2 linked regions of the Drosophila melanogaster genome follow. The protein of the gene in region 1 interacts with the protein of each later gene in a pairwise test. Each region holds a gene or a part of one and is shown on either strand. Other genes may lie near its edges.

Evidence for each region.
Region 2: the proteins of lig (region 1) and CG14490 interact in a two-hybrid assay, tested with the Drosophila melanogaster proteins (one large-scale study listed by BioGRID).

Annotation. Positions count from the first base shown.
Region 1 is NT_033778.4:8,065,883-8,076,679, reverse strand, and holds the start of lig (lingerer), read right to left. Parts: upstream 6,852-10,797; 5' UTR 6,782-6,851; coding exon 6,401-6,781; intron 6,346-6,400; coding exon 6,168-6,345; intron 5,860-6,167; coding exon 4,442-5,859; intron 4,318-4,441; coding exon 3,902-4,317; intron 3,554-3,901; coding exon 3,446-3,553; intron 3,314-3,445; coding exon 3,209-3,313; intron 3,081-3,208; coding exon 2,980-3,080; intron 2,707-2,979; coding exon 2,180-2,706; intron 1,269-2,179; coding exon of another isoform or gene 1,263-1,268; exon of another isoform or gene 1,208-1,262; coding exon 1,073-1,207; intron 1,016-1,072; coding exon 890-1,015; intron 821-889; coding exon 572-820; intron 388-571; coding exon 4-387; 3' UTR 1-3. Other genes in the region: CG17977 (uncharacterized protein), read left to right, coding at 9,236-9,337, 9,387-9,554, 9,922-9,930. UniProt on the Drosophila melanogaster protein: Acts in the nervous system to mediate the control of copulatory organs during courtship.
Region 2 is NT_033778.4:17,858,287-17,864,071, reverse strand, and holds CG14490 (uncharacterized protein), read right to left. Parts: upstream 3,313-5,785; 5' UTR 3,274-3,312; coding exon 2,865-3,273; intron 2,800-2,864; exon of another isoform or gene 2,744-2,799; coding exon 2,559-2,743; 3' UTR 2,481-2,558; downstream 1-2,480. Other genes in the region: thr (three rows), read left to right, coding at 1-2,474; orai, read right to left, coding at 4,278-4,814.

The sequences.
Region 1 (10,797 bases):
TCATCAGTCGGCGAAGAAGGACAAGTCGTTGTTATTGTCATGAACACAGCAGTCGATATTAGGTTCAAAGTTATTGCAATGAGCGGCAACGAGCTGATTCTGACACTGGACAGGTTCGGTTTGCCAGATCCGGTGGTATGTAACTTGAGGACCGTTCACATTCCCATGAATGAGAACATGACTTTCCGTCCCTCCGCCTACAACAACCTGAAGTGGTAATTCTGAATGTACCTGGTGGATGGGCTGATGGATCATATTGTGGTGTCCGGCCGCTGGCATCGGCAAGTACATGCCGTACGGTTGGGCAGAGGTGCCTCCAGCCGTCTGAGTGTTGGGCATGTTAAACGGGGGCGGAGTGCCCGAATGGAAACTCTGCTTCTCGTACGACTGAATAACGAAAAATACAATGGTACAATGTAGACACGTCGGGAGATAAGGTGTTTTAACCAGGGCTGTGAAATCTTATTGTTGTATTGTTTTTTGCTCAAAGATAATTGAAGTCTTTTAACATCGAATTCAGGCTATGATGACCTGCATCCAAATCCACAGCCCTGCTTATAACCATACGTACATTAACCTTGTTCAGCGCCACGTGTCCTTTTCCGTACATAGAAGAGGTCAGATCGGATCCAGTGCCTGCCTGCGACTGGTTGGACACAGTCTGAGTTTTGCTCTGCTGATTCACGCTCGACGAGTAGCCGCCCTTGCTGTAGTCCTGCGTGGTCTGCGACAGAGTGTCATAGCTGGTCGAGCCGTAGCCCGCGCTATACGAAGGCTTCGGGAACTGTTGACCGGAGGCAGTGTTTGCTGCCGGTATTTGCTGAAATTGAATAAGTTTAGACGTTGATTAGATACTGCATACAAAGTGATTTGAATGTAATAGGCTTACTGGATATATGGCGGGCGTGCCATATTGAAAACTACCGGGCATTACATTGCCACCATAGAAGTAGGCGTAAGGAACATTTAGCATGGGCGCACTTGAGCCAGCCTGTTGCGACATTGTGCTGGAGACCTGCAAAATAAACATTTTTACCATCTATCGATCTATCTATCTAAGCTGAGCACATACATTGCCGACCGGACTGGAGTTATTGTCAGTGCGGGCAAAGCGTCCATCATTCATAGCAGAATACGTCACAGAGCCGAGGTTGTCACGTCCAGCTCCTAAACTGGCCGGCGGATAGTTCAGATCGTAATATCCCTGCTGCAATTGAGAATTATAGCATTAGGTTCGTCTTCACGCGAGCATTCTGGGCGTGTTATGGCTGTGAAGATGATGAACGGATCACTTTGTCAGAACTTCTTACCGAAACAAAATAAATATGTGATAAAGGTCTGACAAAACCACGTGTACCAGTTTCAACAAAATGAAATACGTTATGTTCAATGTAAGAAATTTATACATTAGTCAGATGTTAGGTTGAAGAAAAAAAAAAGGGTAAAATGTTAGTGATCGAATGAAATGGGTCAGTAAGGAGCACAGATTTCGTTGTAGTTAGGGATGCAAAGTAATTCAAGTATATATATATTTATATTTTAAGGTTATATTTCTTCGATTTGAATTGGCTTTGCATCCCTAATTCCACAACTACATTGTAGATGGAAACGAGGAAGAACGTTCGGATTAGTTTTTGGTTAATTTTGAGTGTAAAGCAGAGCCTGGGAGGTAAGCAATACATGTGGATTGTTTATCTTTTTTTTTTTGTGATAATGCCAGGAATGTGGAACTGGATGAAAACGGAAGCGGATGGTGCAGGGTGGCGAAGGAAAGTGTCAGCTTTTTACACAATCACACACACACATACATATTCAAACAGACACAGACTTTTAGGAGGTGGTATAATAAGGACTTGATCACAGACATCGCGGTATATGTATGTTATTATGTACAATGCACGCTGAGAAACGGTTAGGAGTGGGAGGCCGCAACGTCAACGAGCCAGGATCCGGATTAACGATTTCGATCAGCAGCGGGAGGCGAGCTGGGATGCGCTGAGCAGTTGTCGTATGCGTTTAAATTTTAAATGGAACTAGGTCTTGACTAATGCGAAAACGTTGTATAATGGGAGCATATTGATACGATTACTGTTTGATTAGAAACGGTTCGGTTGATTGGTCGGTTGCATTATGTAGTTGTTGGTTTGATATTTGCTTTTGCTTTTCTCCATGAACTCACCACATGTGGCACTCTCTGTTGCATCATTTGCAATTCCTCGTAGGAATACACTGGTTGCTGATAGTATGGCAATCCAGTCTGAATATATTGACTAACCATTTGGATGTTGGTGGGCACCAAGCCGCTACCGCTGCCACCACCACTACCAGCACCACCAGCACCCGACGAGCTGCCCACGCCGCCGGTGCTTGCTCCCGCACCTTGTCCGCTGGCGTTGCCCGTCGTCGTGGCAGCACTGCCACCGCTGCCGCTGCTATTGCTGCTGCTGGTGTTCTTGTTGGTCAGCGAGGCCAGCACTGCAGCGGTGGTTCCCGTGGCTGTCTGGGCAACGGTCGCTGCTCCCACCGAGCTGGCGCTGCTGCTGTTGTTGTTCACATTCACACCGACGCTGGACGCGCTGCCACCGGGCACGCCGACTCCACTACTTACGCCGCTCTGGCTTACGCCTCCGCCCACGCCAGCTACGTTGCCACTCGCAACGCCTGCCGTCACATTGCTGACCGAGCTGCTGCCGCTCACGCTGTTATCTGGAGAGGACGGAAAGGTTTTAGTTTAAATGCGAATACTAAGAATTCGGCCAAAAATAGAGCATTTCAGCTAAACAAAAAGTTTGAATCAAAAATTATATTTATTTTGGAGAGTTGTATTGTCAAAGCCGTGGCTAGATTGAAGTAGATTTGACATTGTGAGTTTGTTTTTAAATATTTTTGATATGGGATTTCTATACCAGAAAGCTTAATGACTGCAATGCATACTCTTTAGGGCCTCAACTGTTTGATATTAAATCATCGATTACTTACTGTTCGATACAGCCGCCTGGTTAGCACCTGTTTGACCGCTCACCACACCGCCATTGCCTGTGCTTCCGCTGTTGCTGCTCACTCCGCTGCTGGTTGAGACACTGAAAGGTCAATAAGATCAACATTAAGTGCTACAGGCATCCGCCTCTAAGTGGGATATGACCAGGGGGTTGGGTTAGTCGGAATATTTGAAAAAGCGGGGCATGCAGAGCGGGGGTTTCGCTCTTACCTGTCGTAATGAGCGGCGCTACTGGCCGTGGTCGCATCCTTTAGCTTGGCGCTGGCACTGAAATTGGCGTACTGCGAGGACGCGTTGCTCGCACTGCCAGAGAACCTGAACGAACGGGCGAGAAGCCGCAATTAAGCATAATGGAACCAGAACCAGTCCAAACAAGCAAAATAAGGTACGTGTCATCCCCAGGGAACTGATCGTATTGGGATTGGGATCGTCACATTTGGTACTTACCCGCTGCTGTTGGACAGTCCAGTGTTGCCATAAACACTCTGGCTTGACTGGTAAGCACTTTGTGGTGTCGAATATCCGGATGTGAGGTAGGCAGAGCTCGCATTGCCGCTGTTAGGTGCGGAGCGCGATTGCGGTTTGGGATTTTTGGGACATAAGCGAGCATTAAATGTGTTAGGAGAGAAGAAAAACAGTAAACAAAATGAAGATTAGCTCTCTTTCGGGTGGGGCTAATTGTTAAGCAAAACTTGCATACACACAAATATTTAAACTTTGAAGTAAAAGATATATTCGATAAGGTTTGTACCCTTGCTGAGTATAGTTAGTTGTTCCTTGCCAAATCGACTTGTTGCTTAGAAATAATTTTTAAATTTAAGAAATATGTAACTACGAATCTCTGCAAGGGTACGTACCCTTTGGAATTAAATATTAAACAATCAATACTGGATCATGTCATACCTCGTGCTATTTTGGCTGCTGCTGCCTCCAACCGGAATGTTTTGCGTCGCCGTTCCTCCGCCTCCGCTTACCGCACCTGTACCGCTTTGAGCCCCGCTGCCAGCCTGCTGCTGGTAGGAACTGGGCTGGTATGAGCCGTATCCCTGCTGCTGGTAACTGTTGGCTACTGAGCTTTGCACATTCGCGTATGTGGAGCTGCTGTAGCCACCGGGCGCGGTCGTCGGAAAGCCACTGGCTGTCTTACTCGCTCCACTGCTCTGGTACGCGTTTTGGTAGGCGTTACCACTGCCGCCCGTCTGTCCGTAGGGATCGCTCTTGGTCAGCTGATCGATTGTGGCATTCACCGCTGAGCTAACGCCCTGCTGCTGCTGTGACGTCGAACGGCTTGTATAGCCCGCTGCATTTAAGGCATCGCTCTATAAATGAGGAATGCTATTAGATTCTCAGTAATATATGCACTATGCTAAAAACTATCGTATTAACTAAATCATGGTGACGATGATTACTTGGGTGATTCAAAGGATACAGTACGGTACTTACAATCTGCGAACTCTGTAGACCTGCCGCTAGCGTCACCTGCTGCTGTTGCTGGGACTTGCTCTGGTAGTCATCTGGCTGCTGTTGCTGCTGCTGACCATCAATGCTAAAGCCCGAACCAACCTTCTCCGGCAATGGCTCGAAGCCATCGTCCGTGCCGAAGTCCAGAGCGCCGAACTGCACGTCCAGGTAGCCAATGTTGTTCAGTGCATTGTCTCCGGGCATTTCGACGGCACTCGCAGGAATCTTCGAGGGTGGTGGCAGCTTAACACGTGCCCTCCGTATCTGCGGTTGCTGCTGCGATTGCTCGGCAGTGCCAGCTCCAGCTGCCGTTCCAGAAGCGAATACGTTGGCATAGGTATTGGGGTACTGGCTCACACCCACGCTAGTGCTAGTTTGGGAGTAGGCGGCCACGGGGTTTTGCGCGTAACCCGCTGGCGCCGATTGCACTGGAACAGAACCTGGGCTGACGCCCTGGCTGGCCAACGAGTTGAAATACTGAGATTGCTCGACCGACAAAGTAGCCGACGGCTTGATAGGCGTCGTCTGCTGCTGAAGTTGCTGCTGCTTTTGTGCTTGATGCACCAGCGTGGCAGCTGCCGAGGCGGCGCTTGAGAATGTGTCGGGAGAGGCGGATACAAAGGATGACGGTGTGCTGCCTGCTCCTCCGCCGGCAGCTGCGCTCGCTCCTGTACCCGCTCCTGACTGTGTGCCCTGGGACTGCAGCTGGGGCGGTGGATTACTGACCGCTGCGCTGTATTGCAGCAGCGGCGTGGTCGCCGAGCCGCTCAGCGTTGCTGGCGGTGTGACCGCCGCTGGGCCGCTGCTGGAGCTCTCCTCCAGATGAGATCCCTGCTGCACCAACTGATGTTCAAGGCCCGGTGGCGCCGATATCTCGGTTCCAGCCGCCGCAGGAACAGCTGTAACACTCGCGCCAGTTCCGCTAACCACGTTGGCAGCGGATTGCGTTGCCAGGTTGCTAGTGGTGAACACCTTGCTGTCCTTGAGCGAGCCCTCGTACTCCTCGTTGTTCCAGTCGCCCCAGGCATCGTCATGAGCCTGTTGCTGCTTCTCGGCATTTTGGGCAATGGTGTTGTCCCACAGCTCAACCTCGTGGTGATCCTCGTTTGCATTGCCACCGCGACCTGATCCATAAGCACCACCAGGGCCTCCGCTGCCGCGATCGCCACGCGGTCCACCGGTGCGTCCCCCCATGCGGCCGCCGCCACGGCCAGAGCGAGAGACAAAGCCACCACCGCGTCCACCGCCACCGGGACCACTGCGTCCGCCGCCGTTGCGCTGCCCGCGGTAGTTGTCATTTGCCCGATCGTCACCGCGGTCCTGACCAGCGTTTTGCCCGGACCAAGGTTCGCGAGATTCGCGCTGGTTGCGCTCATTCTCACGAGTCTCTCTTCCGCGCCCTACAATATTAGAAATCAAATATTAATTTATGTTCAGAGGATTAGGATAAATATCATTTACTAAAATTATTTCATCAATTTAATATTTTCTCTAATTACAGCTCGCGCATGACCAACAAATGCTGAACCTTAAATGTCAATCAGCATTGGAATATTTAACGATCTTAATTTTTATATATGTTCTACATAAAAAGAAACGTTATTTTTAGCAGTTTTACAATAACTGTAATGCAGAGCTTAAAGATCCAAAACGTTTAGTAATGCCCTAAGAAACGTTTTAGTAAATGAGCGTGGCTTATGATACTTACATCCACGACTGTCACTGGAGCCACGGGTGCCTCCGCGATTTGAGCTGCGGTTTCGCGACTTTTCCCGCCTGTCCGCATTGCCATTGCCATCGGCCCAATCGCCATCGCCAGCAGCACCATCAGCCGTGTTATTTGCAGCCTTGTTCTTGCGCTTTTTCTCGTACTTGGCAAAGGCGCCCTAAAACAGATTCAATTGAATAACTGGAGCGCGGGAGATTAGAATCGAAACTAACCTGCGGTAGCTCCTCGATCAAGAAGTTGGCCGCGGCCTCCAGGTCGTAATCGCACTCGTTGAGGGCACAGCAGACCTCCTCCTCGGAACGTTGGGTCATGGTCAAAAGAAGGAGAACCTTCTCGTTGATCTGCGGATCCTCTGTGGTGCTATTGGTGATCTGGGCAATGCGCAACTGTTCGGTGGTAGCCTTGGGCTGGGCCTTCTCTGGCTTGTCTGTCTTGCTGGCATCCTGGCCTCCCTTCTTGCCAGCGGCCGCAGCATGTGAGACTCCATCGTGATGGCCGGTTCCTCCTCCGCCGGAGTTGCTGGCATTTGACTTTTTCTGGTTGCGGGCATGGCCGCCGCCTCCCCCGCCGCCTGAACGAGTTTGTGTGCTCATCTCTATGTACACTGTATATACAAATTAGCTGCAATACGAAAAAGATGAAGGATTCGATCTTAAAACCAGGGAATCTACAAACTGACTGATAAAAATTTAAGTCTGTGCTGACTGGATTCTGAGTATGGGACTCTCTGGGTTTACTTAATGTTCTATAAGTAAAATAGTAATATCTAAAGATCAATGCAAATAAGTAGAGAGTAATAAGTAATGATTTTTGGTGTTGCTGATTTAGAAAGTTAGCCGCCTGGTTCGCTTCTGTTAGTTGATATTCAACTATAATATAGCAGAAATTCAATTGGAATTTACAGCGCATTTACATAAATTTTTTGTTGGATAGAGAATAATGAATGGTTAAGATCTAAATCTTGATTCGTCGGCGTGGAAATATTAATGGTAAACTCCCACAATCCAGACAGCTTTTATCTGGGAATGTGTTAAAATGGCTAAACAAGTGGCCGAAAGAGAGCAGCAAAGGAAAAGTTGGCAAGATGAGAGTTCAATGTACATTTAATAAAAGAGAATGAAAGAACGTGAACAAACAGACACACGCCGAAGCAAAGAAGTGCGAGAGGAAGGGAAGATCGTACGCACAAACAAAGCGAGCATTCAGAAATAACAAAAATAATGAGGGGGGTGAAAAGTGTATTGGCAAAACAGGTAACAGAATGATTGCCGAGGGGGTGGCGGGGTACGTGACCACGACGCATCCAAGCCGAAACGTCAGTTGGCATTTCCAGGGGGGGTGGTTCATGGGAAAGAGAGCGGGAGAGGCGACCCCGATACCAAGTGCATATCTGAATCACTCAATTTTTGTTGTCAAAACAGTTTTATCAACGTTTGCCGTGAATAACGCCTTTCCATGCATTATTCATACACAGACACACGCGCGTACTGCCGCACACAAACAAAAGACCGCTGTCGCCATCACTTTTCCATCAGGTTTCGCATTTCGCACGTACACCATGATATGGAAATTTGACCACGGGAACTGGGGAACTGCGATCCGAGACCCGGAAACTACTCAATACCAATTGCAATGGGAATCGCGGTGACTGACATACACAAAAATTGATTTATAAACTCCTTGGCCTCTTCGCTTCGGTTTTTCGCTTTCGCTTTTGTGCTCGCTTTTCTGCATCTGTCCTAGCGGCATCTCCCTCGCACCCGCACCAGCGCGGGCTGACCAGTGTTGCCAGGTGCGAACAAAGCGCAGCGGCACTTGGCAAGGCCGTTAAATTAACCAACAATCGGAGCACAATGATTGGATTCGTTAACGAGGTAGCAGGTCCTAGAGAGGGCAAACAGCGTTAGCTACAATATCTGCACAAACGCACAAATTCACGGCAGGACTCGGATGGCACACATCACTAGGTACGCTCCGGCACTTGGCAACACTGAATGCGAGGGCATTGAAACCGAATGAAGCGCACAAAGTGGAATGCAAAACCGGACAAAGTGGCGTACACTGCGCCGAAATAAGCGAAATGTACGATTCGTTGTTGGCGAAATTTGTCCAATATGTGACATACCCGGCAAGGATAACGCACTCCCAGTTGCACATTGCGGGGCAAACGGGATATATAGCCTTAATAGACCCAGCCATGTGCACATACTTCGACGCCATTTCTGCAACGCCACACTAGCCGACTCTTTCGCTCTTATGTAAACCAAGGGACCCAGTAATTGACGACGACCGCCGCTCCAGACAGCGGCCACTATTGAATTTTCAACCGAGTTTTTCGCTGACAAGCCCCCGGGAGACATGTCGAAAACACGTTGCACAGGTGGGGGGACACTTAAACTAAACTTTAACACCTCAGCAGGGTTCCGGTCACGGCTTTAAATTGGATAAACAAATTTTCAAAACGGAGTCACACTCAATACCTGCAAATGCGCCGAGAAACGCACTTTTAATGTGACCGCTCGTTAGTCGATCGATATGGCTTTATCTGGGCATGCAGCCCTGGACTCAGAAATCTAGCGGTGCCACGAATCAGTTTTACTAATTTTTAAATTGATAACATTTCTATACCATTATTAAAAGGCTTCAAAAAGCTAATTTATCCAATTTTCCATTAGCTAATATAAGCAGCTTACCTATTAGAAGCTGATTTCGATCTTAAATATGTTGTATGCTCCTTGTTAAAAGGTTTTGAACTCGTATTAAATCAAGTGGTATATCGATACCAAATGAAAAGTTGTTGGCATTTGCACACCTCTATCATCAACAAAACATACTACTTTTGAAAAAAAAAACAAACAAAATCAGTTCATTTACCAAACTATGGACAAAATATTGCATTTGATGACAAAACATTAAGTATATTTACCCAGGCGAGCAATGAGCACACACCAATGCCCCAAATATTCGAGTGACGACGACGTCGAGATATTGAAAGATGCAATGGAGGAGCTGCAAAAATAAGCTTGAAAAGATCCTAAAAAACCAAAATGACTTTTGCAAGGTGGAACTGGACTATTTTCCCGTGTATGATCCCGACGAGCTTTCCAATCTGGATGCGAATCTTTCAAAGCCGGGCAATAGCACAAAACGTAAGCCTGATTATTGGGGTATTACAAACTTGATCTTTTTGTTTTCCAGGCTCATATTATTCACCGCATCCTGAGGCCAGAAGGTCGAATAGAACCGCTGAAAAACAATTTGTCAAAGATGTTCAACTACGATATTCTCATGGCTTACAACTGCGACGGTGAGCTCTCAGTCAGCAGTCAGTCATCTCATACAAATATATTAACGAAACTATTTTTGGTGAGTTAAGTATAGCTTTGTGCAGATTTAAAGCATTCATTTCGTTTACTAAATTAGGTGTTGCTATTTATAATTTGGCGTAAAAAAAACTATCCTGGCTTATAAGCTAATGGGTCAATTTAGTTTATAATTACTAGTCATTCTAAATAACTAAATTATATTTGCATGGGATATTTTTATGCTTGAAGACCGCGATGGTTCCTTTTTTATAGTGCATCAAACTTTCCATATCTATTATATTATTATATCTTAAGTTGTTCGTATTTGTGAAATTAAATTAGTAAGCAGGAATATTTTTAGAATCAGTACTTTTAGTTAGTTGCGCTAAAATTTAAGAAAACATTTTCTGGTAATCTCTCATCTTTAGGGGTCCTGAAAACAGACATTAAGGCGACGATATCATAAAAGAAACCACGACTTACGGAGGAGGATTAGACAGAACCAAAAGTGTGAGCCAGATTCTGATTGGGATTAGCCGATAAGCTGGTATCAATGCTGCATTTCGTTTATTTGCAACGTTTATCTCAACGAAAGGAATATTAAGCCAAACCGGTTTTGGCTCTCTGCAGTAAGTTGTGTTCTTTCCGCTTTAATGAGGTTATTTTCGGCTTGCATAGCGCCTCGAAACGCCAGTCTTTTAAACCGTAACGTTCTGGTCGACATCCCCTTGGAAAAATATGGATCAAAGATTTCACCACATGTGGCTTTTAAGTGGTTCTAATAATTGTTATTATTTACCATACTTTTGTTTTCCATTGCAAAGCAATCACTGATTTATTTATTTATTCGATTTTTAAGTTCTGATTTCACCTAATTAGTCATTTTTTAAACCTTATTGTAAATTAACTGACGCAATAAAGAAAAAAATGTATTTAATTCAAAAAATGTGCATTTGAAGAGACGCTTCTTTCTCGTTTCTAAAGGTATTATAAAATGTTTATATATATATATATGGGTTTATATATTTTATATTTGCATATGGAAAGAGACCATATACCATCCATCGATATACCATCCTCAACATTCTTCAAGGTTTCGCAATCATCGTAAAGGAATTGCAAGATTTTAAAAAAACGCGATGCCCAAGATATTTTGTTAATGGATACTTAATCGCCAGTGCCACTGAGACAAGTGATTCGAAATGAAAACGACGAGTGTCGCTGCTCTTGGTGAAAAAGGCAACCTGGCAGGGTTCAGTAAACTTGTTTCCAATTTGAAAATGGTTATGCCAGCCGGATAAAAA
Region 2 (5,785 bases), 9.8 Mb from region 1:
AGATCAAAAGGTGTGTCTACGAGTGGCACGAGTCCACGCCACTACCTTTCCCTCTCACTCCGGACCAGAAGAAACAGCTGTATGATACCGATTTCTTTGCCTTACTACACTATTTGAGGAGTCCTTCTACGGCTCATATGGAATCACTTATTCGTTGCCGAACGAGTGACTATCATCTGGTACTCTTGGCCAGACAAATGCGAAAGGATGACTCGATTTCGAAGAAATGCATAGAGGTTCATGATAAGCTAAGGCAACAACGTTCGCTCAGTCGAATGGATAACTTGTGCCTGGGCCACGCAAGTGTGGGACTACTACTGGACGCACTGGAGGCTCAAAAAACCAAAGTTTCCACCAAGGAGATAACGGAAAATATGTTCGAGGAGCTGCTACTCAGCAAGAATTTATGGCAGATGAACATACAAAGGGAGCAGCGATTGGTCAACTATGCTAGTGAAGCCATCTCGGCCTTCAGCAACTTCTTCGATCGAGCAGATCAAGAGCCATTGAGCGCAAATGAAACGTCTATTGATTGGGAGGCATTGATTGACGATGCCATCGCTACTGCCAATGCACTTTCAAGTATGGGGTATCAGTCAGAAGAGGATGATGCCTGGCTGTTGCTTCTGAGGATGGGTCGCTTGCTGGAAGATCGTTTTACCTATCTGCGTGCCCTAAATCATTTTCTGTCACAGAATGAGGTTAGTTCTCGTTTAAATCTGAAACTCGGCGAGGAAGTGGAAGTAGCAGAGGAATTGCTGGATGATTTGTGGCCTCAATTGAAAAATGGCAAATTCTTCAAGCGTCAGCAAACTACGGTAATGCTCTGTTTTTGTCACCTCGCCAGTTACTATGCCAGAATGGAATGCTATAGTCATGCCCAGTTGCTTCTATTGCATGTGGAACAACTTCGCGAAGAGTTTCCTGAGAGACAAGGAAAAAGTGATATTGTATTGCTTACACTGCAAACGGTGCGCTTTCGAATTGGGTATCAGCAAAGGAAGCCAACGAATTGCAGGCTGCCGACTCCTCTGCGTCAATTGGACATTCTTCTGGACAATGTGCGAAGTTTTTGCAATCTATCCAGTTTAGATGGCGGCTCATTGCAGCTGCTTCTTTCGACTCTTGTCAGGGAAAGCACCGAGTGCTCTGCGAACAGATTAAGCGAAAGACTGTCCTTCTCCAACATTGCACTACATTTGGTACTCCAATCTGGCTTGGCTTTAAGAGCCATAGAGGTATTCCTTGCATGGTTATGGACCAATTTGCAAATGGAAAGTTTCGACAAGGCGCAATCGAAGTTGAGACTCATCGAGCATTGTTTAGGTATAAAACAGCTGAATCCAACGAGTAGGCCGGAAAAGGAAGCGATTAAGGATGTAGCAATTAGAGATCTGGCTAGTAATATGCATCTCCTCCAGTTGGTGGAGCCGATCAGAAAGCAGCAGCTATTAAATATGGCCTCGCCGAATCTGCTCAAAATGCGACCACATAGCCCAAATCCCCAACTGGACTTGGATCGCTACATAACACTCGATGTGGCGCCAGCGAATCTTCGAGAGAATTCCCAGCTGCAATGCTTGTACTTTGTAACGGGCTGTCTACATGCACGTCTCCGCTTTCTGCAGAGAAACAGCGAACAATTGGACGAATTCTATGGAAGAGCGCATAGTTGGATGCAGGAAAAACCTCCGATGAGTAGCGCTTTGTATCCCATGTTGCATGCCCAGCAGCTGTATCATCTGAACTATCTTCGCTTTGCGCGAAAGCATGTAGAGGCTATATCAACGGCTCAATTGGGCCTTAAAATGCGATCACGCGCGGTCGACATTAACTTCGAGTACAATTTTTTGGCTCAGCTAAAGACGGCTCAGTTAGAACTCAAACCCGTGGGTCAGGATAAGCCACAGGTCAAAATCCTTCGACGTGCTTTGGTATTCAATCACTCACCCGAAGATAAGAAACGAACCGCAATAGGATCGGTTTCAGCAGTCAAGAATACGGCGTCTAAAGTTAAACAGTCGGCCAAAAAGGCACCTCGATTCAGAATTTACGAGGAGCTGGAACTACGACCACCAAGTGCTACCAGTTGCAGTAGCAGCGGTGGCAGCGGAACAGAGAATACACCGCCTTCGGATCACGTGGATCTAAATGCCTGCCAAGCGATCGAGATAAGCGACGATGACGATTCACCTTTGGTGTCCACAAAGAAGACACAACCAAAAAGTAGGGAGAAGGCAAAACCCAAGGCCACATCCAAAGCTTGTAAAGTCCTAACATTGGATAATAGCTTGGAAATAGTAGAAACGCCGACAATAACTACAAGTACACGGAGCACCAGAGCCAGGCTGCGCCAACCAGTAGAGACACCAAAGACAGCGACTCTTTCATCCAAGCGAACGAGGCGCCAGGTTTTGGAAGCACAGGCTCCCGAAACGGAGTCCATTAGCACACGCACACGGCATCGGCACTGATTAGATAGTAGTCTCCTTAGTTCGTATTTATTCTTATCGAAAATGTCTTGGTATTTAAATATATATATATATTGTGTGTAAGTGTTACAAAAGAGCTTTTGACATAAATTCATTGTTTTTATCTTGTGGCAGGGACAGTAGTGACGTTCTACAGATGTCCTTGCTCCAAAAACCGTGCTGAATCCGCTGTCCATTGCTGGCATGGTAAAATACACCTGAGCCCGATTTGCAGCCTCCTTCAAATTGACCCACGTAGCGATTTCCCGTTGCTATGGATAACATATTAACTTATTATCTATAATCTTTATGCATTTTTAAAGTTGCGAAAAAATAAATAAAATGAAACAAATACATCCAAAGGAACATATCTTATTTCTTTATCACACTCACCCGTGAAAAGTAAACCCTTTTCGTGCATCTTGTCCCGAAGCCACTCGCCCACATAGATGCCGCCATCCGCCTGCCATAGGATGCCCTCTCCACTTCGCTGGTCCGCTAGCCACTGACCAAAGTAGACGGATCCGTCCGGATAGAACTGCTTGCCCTCGCCACTCCGCTTGTTCTCCCGCCACTGACCCACGTAGATGCGTTCCATGCGGCCATCGAGCTCCTTGCGACGCAAACTTCCGATGCCATGCCGTTGACCCTTCTGCCAGTGACCCTCGTAGACAAGTCCACTGCTCGTTTGCTTTACCCCAAACCCGTGAGGCTGCTGGCCCAACCATTTGCCCTGGTACTGCCCACCAGGATAACGTTGAGAGCGAACTCCACTACTATATCCGCTCGTACGCGACGACATGTCTTCGATGACTGAGCGCGGGAGCAAGTCCGTCCAATTGCGGCGGTGCCATGTGGTGTCGTCCGACTTTAGGCGGCGGTGTGCGTGCGGTGGTGTCACTTGTCTAATCGAACCCCCCCAGCCAGCAGCAGCATGTCTTGCCACCATTTGGCTTCCTCCAGCAGCGACACGCTAACTTAAGGAGGCCAAAGACATTGGCTCAATAGAAAATCGTTTGTTCCGGTTAAGTGTATGTAGTAAAAATCGTTTAATCAGTCGTATATAAATTACAGCGCTATTTAGCTTACATCGGTAAAGATCGAAAATAGACTGTTATATTTTCCAAAACTATTGGAATACCTATGAATATAATTCGTATATAAATATTGCAGTACATTTTCAAATACTTTATTTTACAATTGTTTTATGTTGCATATAAAATATATCAAATTGTCTCTAAAATTTTGCATTCTTTTAATCCGCATCTATTGTTCAGCTATATATCACGATTAAAAATAAAACTCCAACACCATATATATAGAAAATTCTTTTAATCATAAATTATATGGTATAAATTACAGCGCGGTTTCGCTTACACAATTGGCTTAATATTAAATTTGACAATCAAGTTGTGTCTTAAACGTAAAAAGGGAAGACTGCCTAAGGATGGTTGCAAAAAAAGAAAATCCGGCATGGCATACAATTTAAAATACACGCAATATAAATATGTAACAAATATCAGCTAATTTTTTGAGGAATATTCATCCGAAGTATTGCTTTAATTGGGGTCTTTTATCATTGTCAATATCCGTGCTAATCCGCAATTGCCATAAGTAAAATAAAGGACTACAGCAGCACTCGCACATATATATATATATATAGTAGAAATCTACTGAATTCCGCGTATCACAATTTTAATCAACTACAAATTTACAATATGTGTGTTTCACTAAAAATAATCTGAAGCTTACCCTGAGCCGCTGTCTTTTTCGTTCGATCCACTTGTGCGGATACGCCAAGTGATGCTAGACAATGTCCCCGGATGCGCCATAGTTCATGCCATTATTTCGTATGTTATTGTGATGCTCCAAATGATCCTGCTCCATCTGCTCCTTGAGCATCTCCAGCTCACGGATGCCCGAGACTGTCACCTCATATTTGTGCGACACCAGGGAGCGATAGAAGTGAATGGCGAAGGCCATAAAGATGATCATCACCGGTATGAGGACCACACACGCTGACCAAGCCGCCGGCGGACTTAGGTCATAGAATTTCACCCAGCACAGGATGGCTATCTCCAGTAGAAAGAGTATGAGTCCCAGCAGCGTGGAGAATGCCCACGCCGTTTCAATGTACCAATGGAGACGCTCGTGTGGCGATTCGTGGACCAGGGAAATACTATGCAAATTACACACCGTCTCAATATTTGGCAGGATACAGGTGCTGATCATCAGGGCCAGCATGTGCACCGCCACCAGGAGGGTGGTGCAGATGGCGAAGGCTATCAGCATGCCCGGTGGTACATTCGTATCGTGATCCAGTTGCACCTCCACCATCGCCACCTATGTGAAAATTGCAAAAGTGAAGAAAGTCATTAATGATTTTTATTTAATTTTGGTTAGAAATCGAAACGATTCCCCGGCATCGCCTCTTATTATTATTAGCCATTTCTCGCGAGAACATTGCAAAATTGGCAAATAAGCAACTTTTCTCTTATATTATGTGATCTGAATGGACCTAATTTATCTGATCCGCCCCTAATGCCGCGCCTCCCTTTCTTCAGCATGCTAGGTGTACATGTGGAATGCATAACAAGTTGATGAACCAAAAAAAAAAAGCGACATATAAATACCTCGTCACTCAATTAATTAATATAATAATTCAGCACCTGCAATACTTGCACATTTTCCAATTGATTTATTTAATATTATGTACTGCATACTATAATTTAATAATTTATCTAGATTTAACTGTGTCGTGTGTGGAATTGCTAGACAATAAGTGGGAATTTTAACAATGCTGGGAAACCAACGAATGTATCATGATGTATGTTGATATTTGCTTTGATATTTGCTCCTCTTCAGCAAAACTGCTACAATATTGCAATAGTCTAAACTACCCATAATTAATGGGTGAGAAATACATACGAGTATATGCACGGCAAACAGCTAACAGACTTGTTTGGCCAAGAAAACGATAGTGGGAATAAAACGAAATCTATTTCGTTGGCCCTCAATTTCTTGCTGCCGGCATCGAAAATAATTATGTTGGTTAGCAATATTCACAGGTACAGAAGGCTAATTATTGATGTATGATATATATATATATATATACATATATATATATTTATATATCCCTGTCATGATTGAAATTACTTAAATGCGACTGCGAGTAGGTTAATGGGCACTCAAACGGAACAAATAACAGATTGCATTCCGTTGCGCGATACGCCAAGTGGAAACCACTCTTATTATAAAATAACAATAATTATTTTGTTACAGTGTATGCCATATTCGTGGTGGCATTTTCCGCC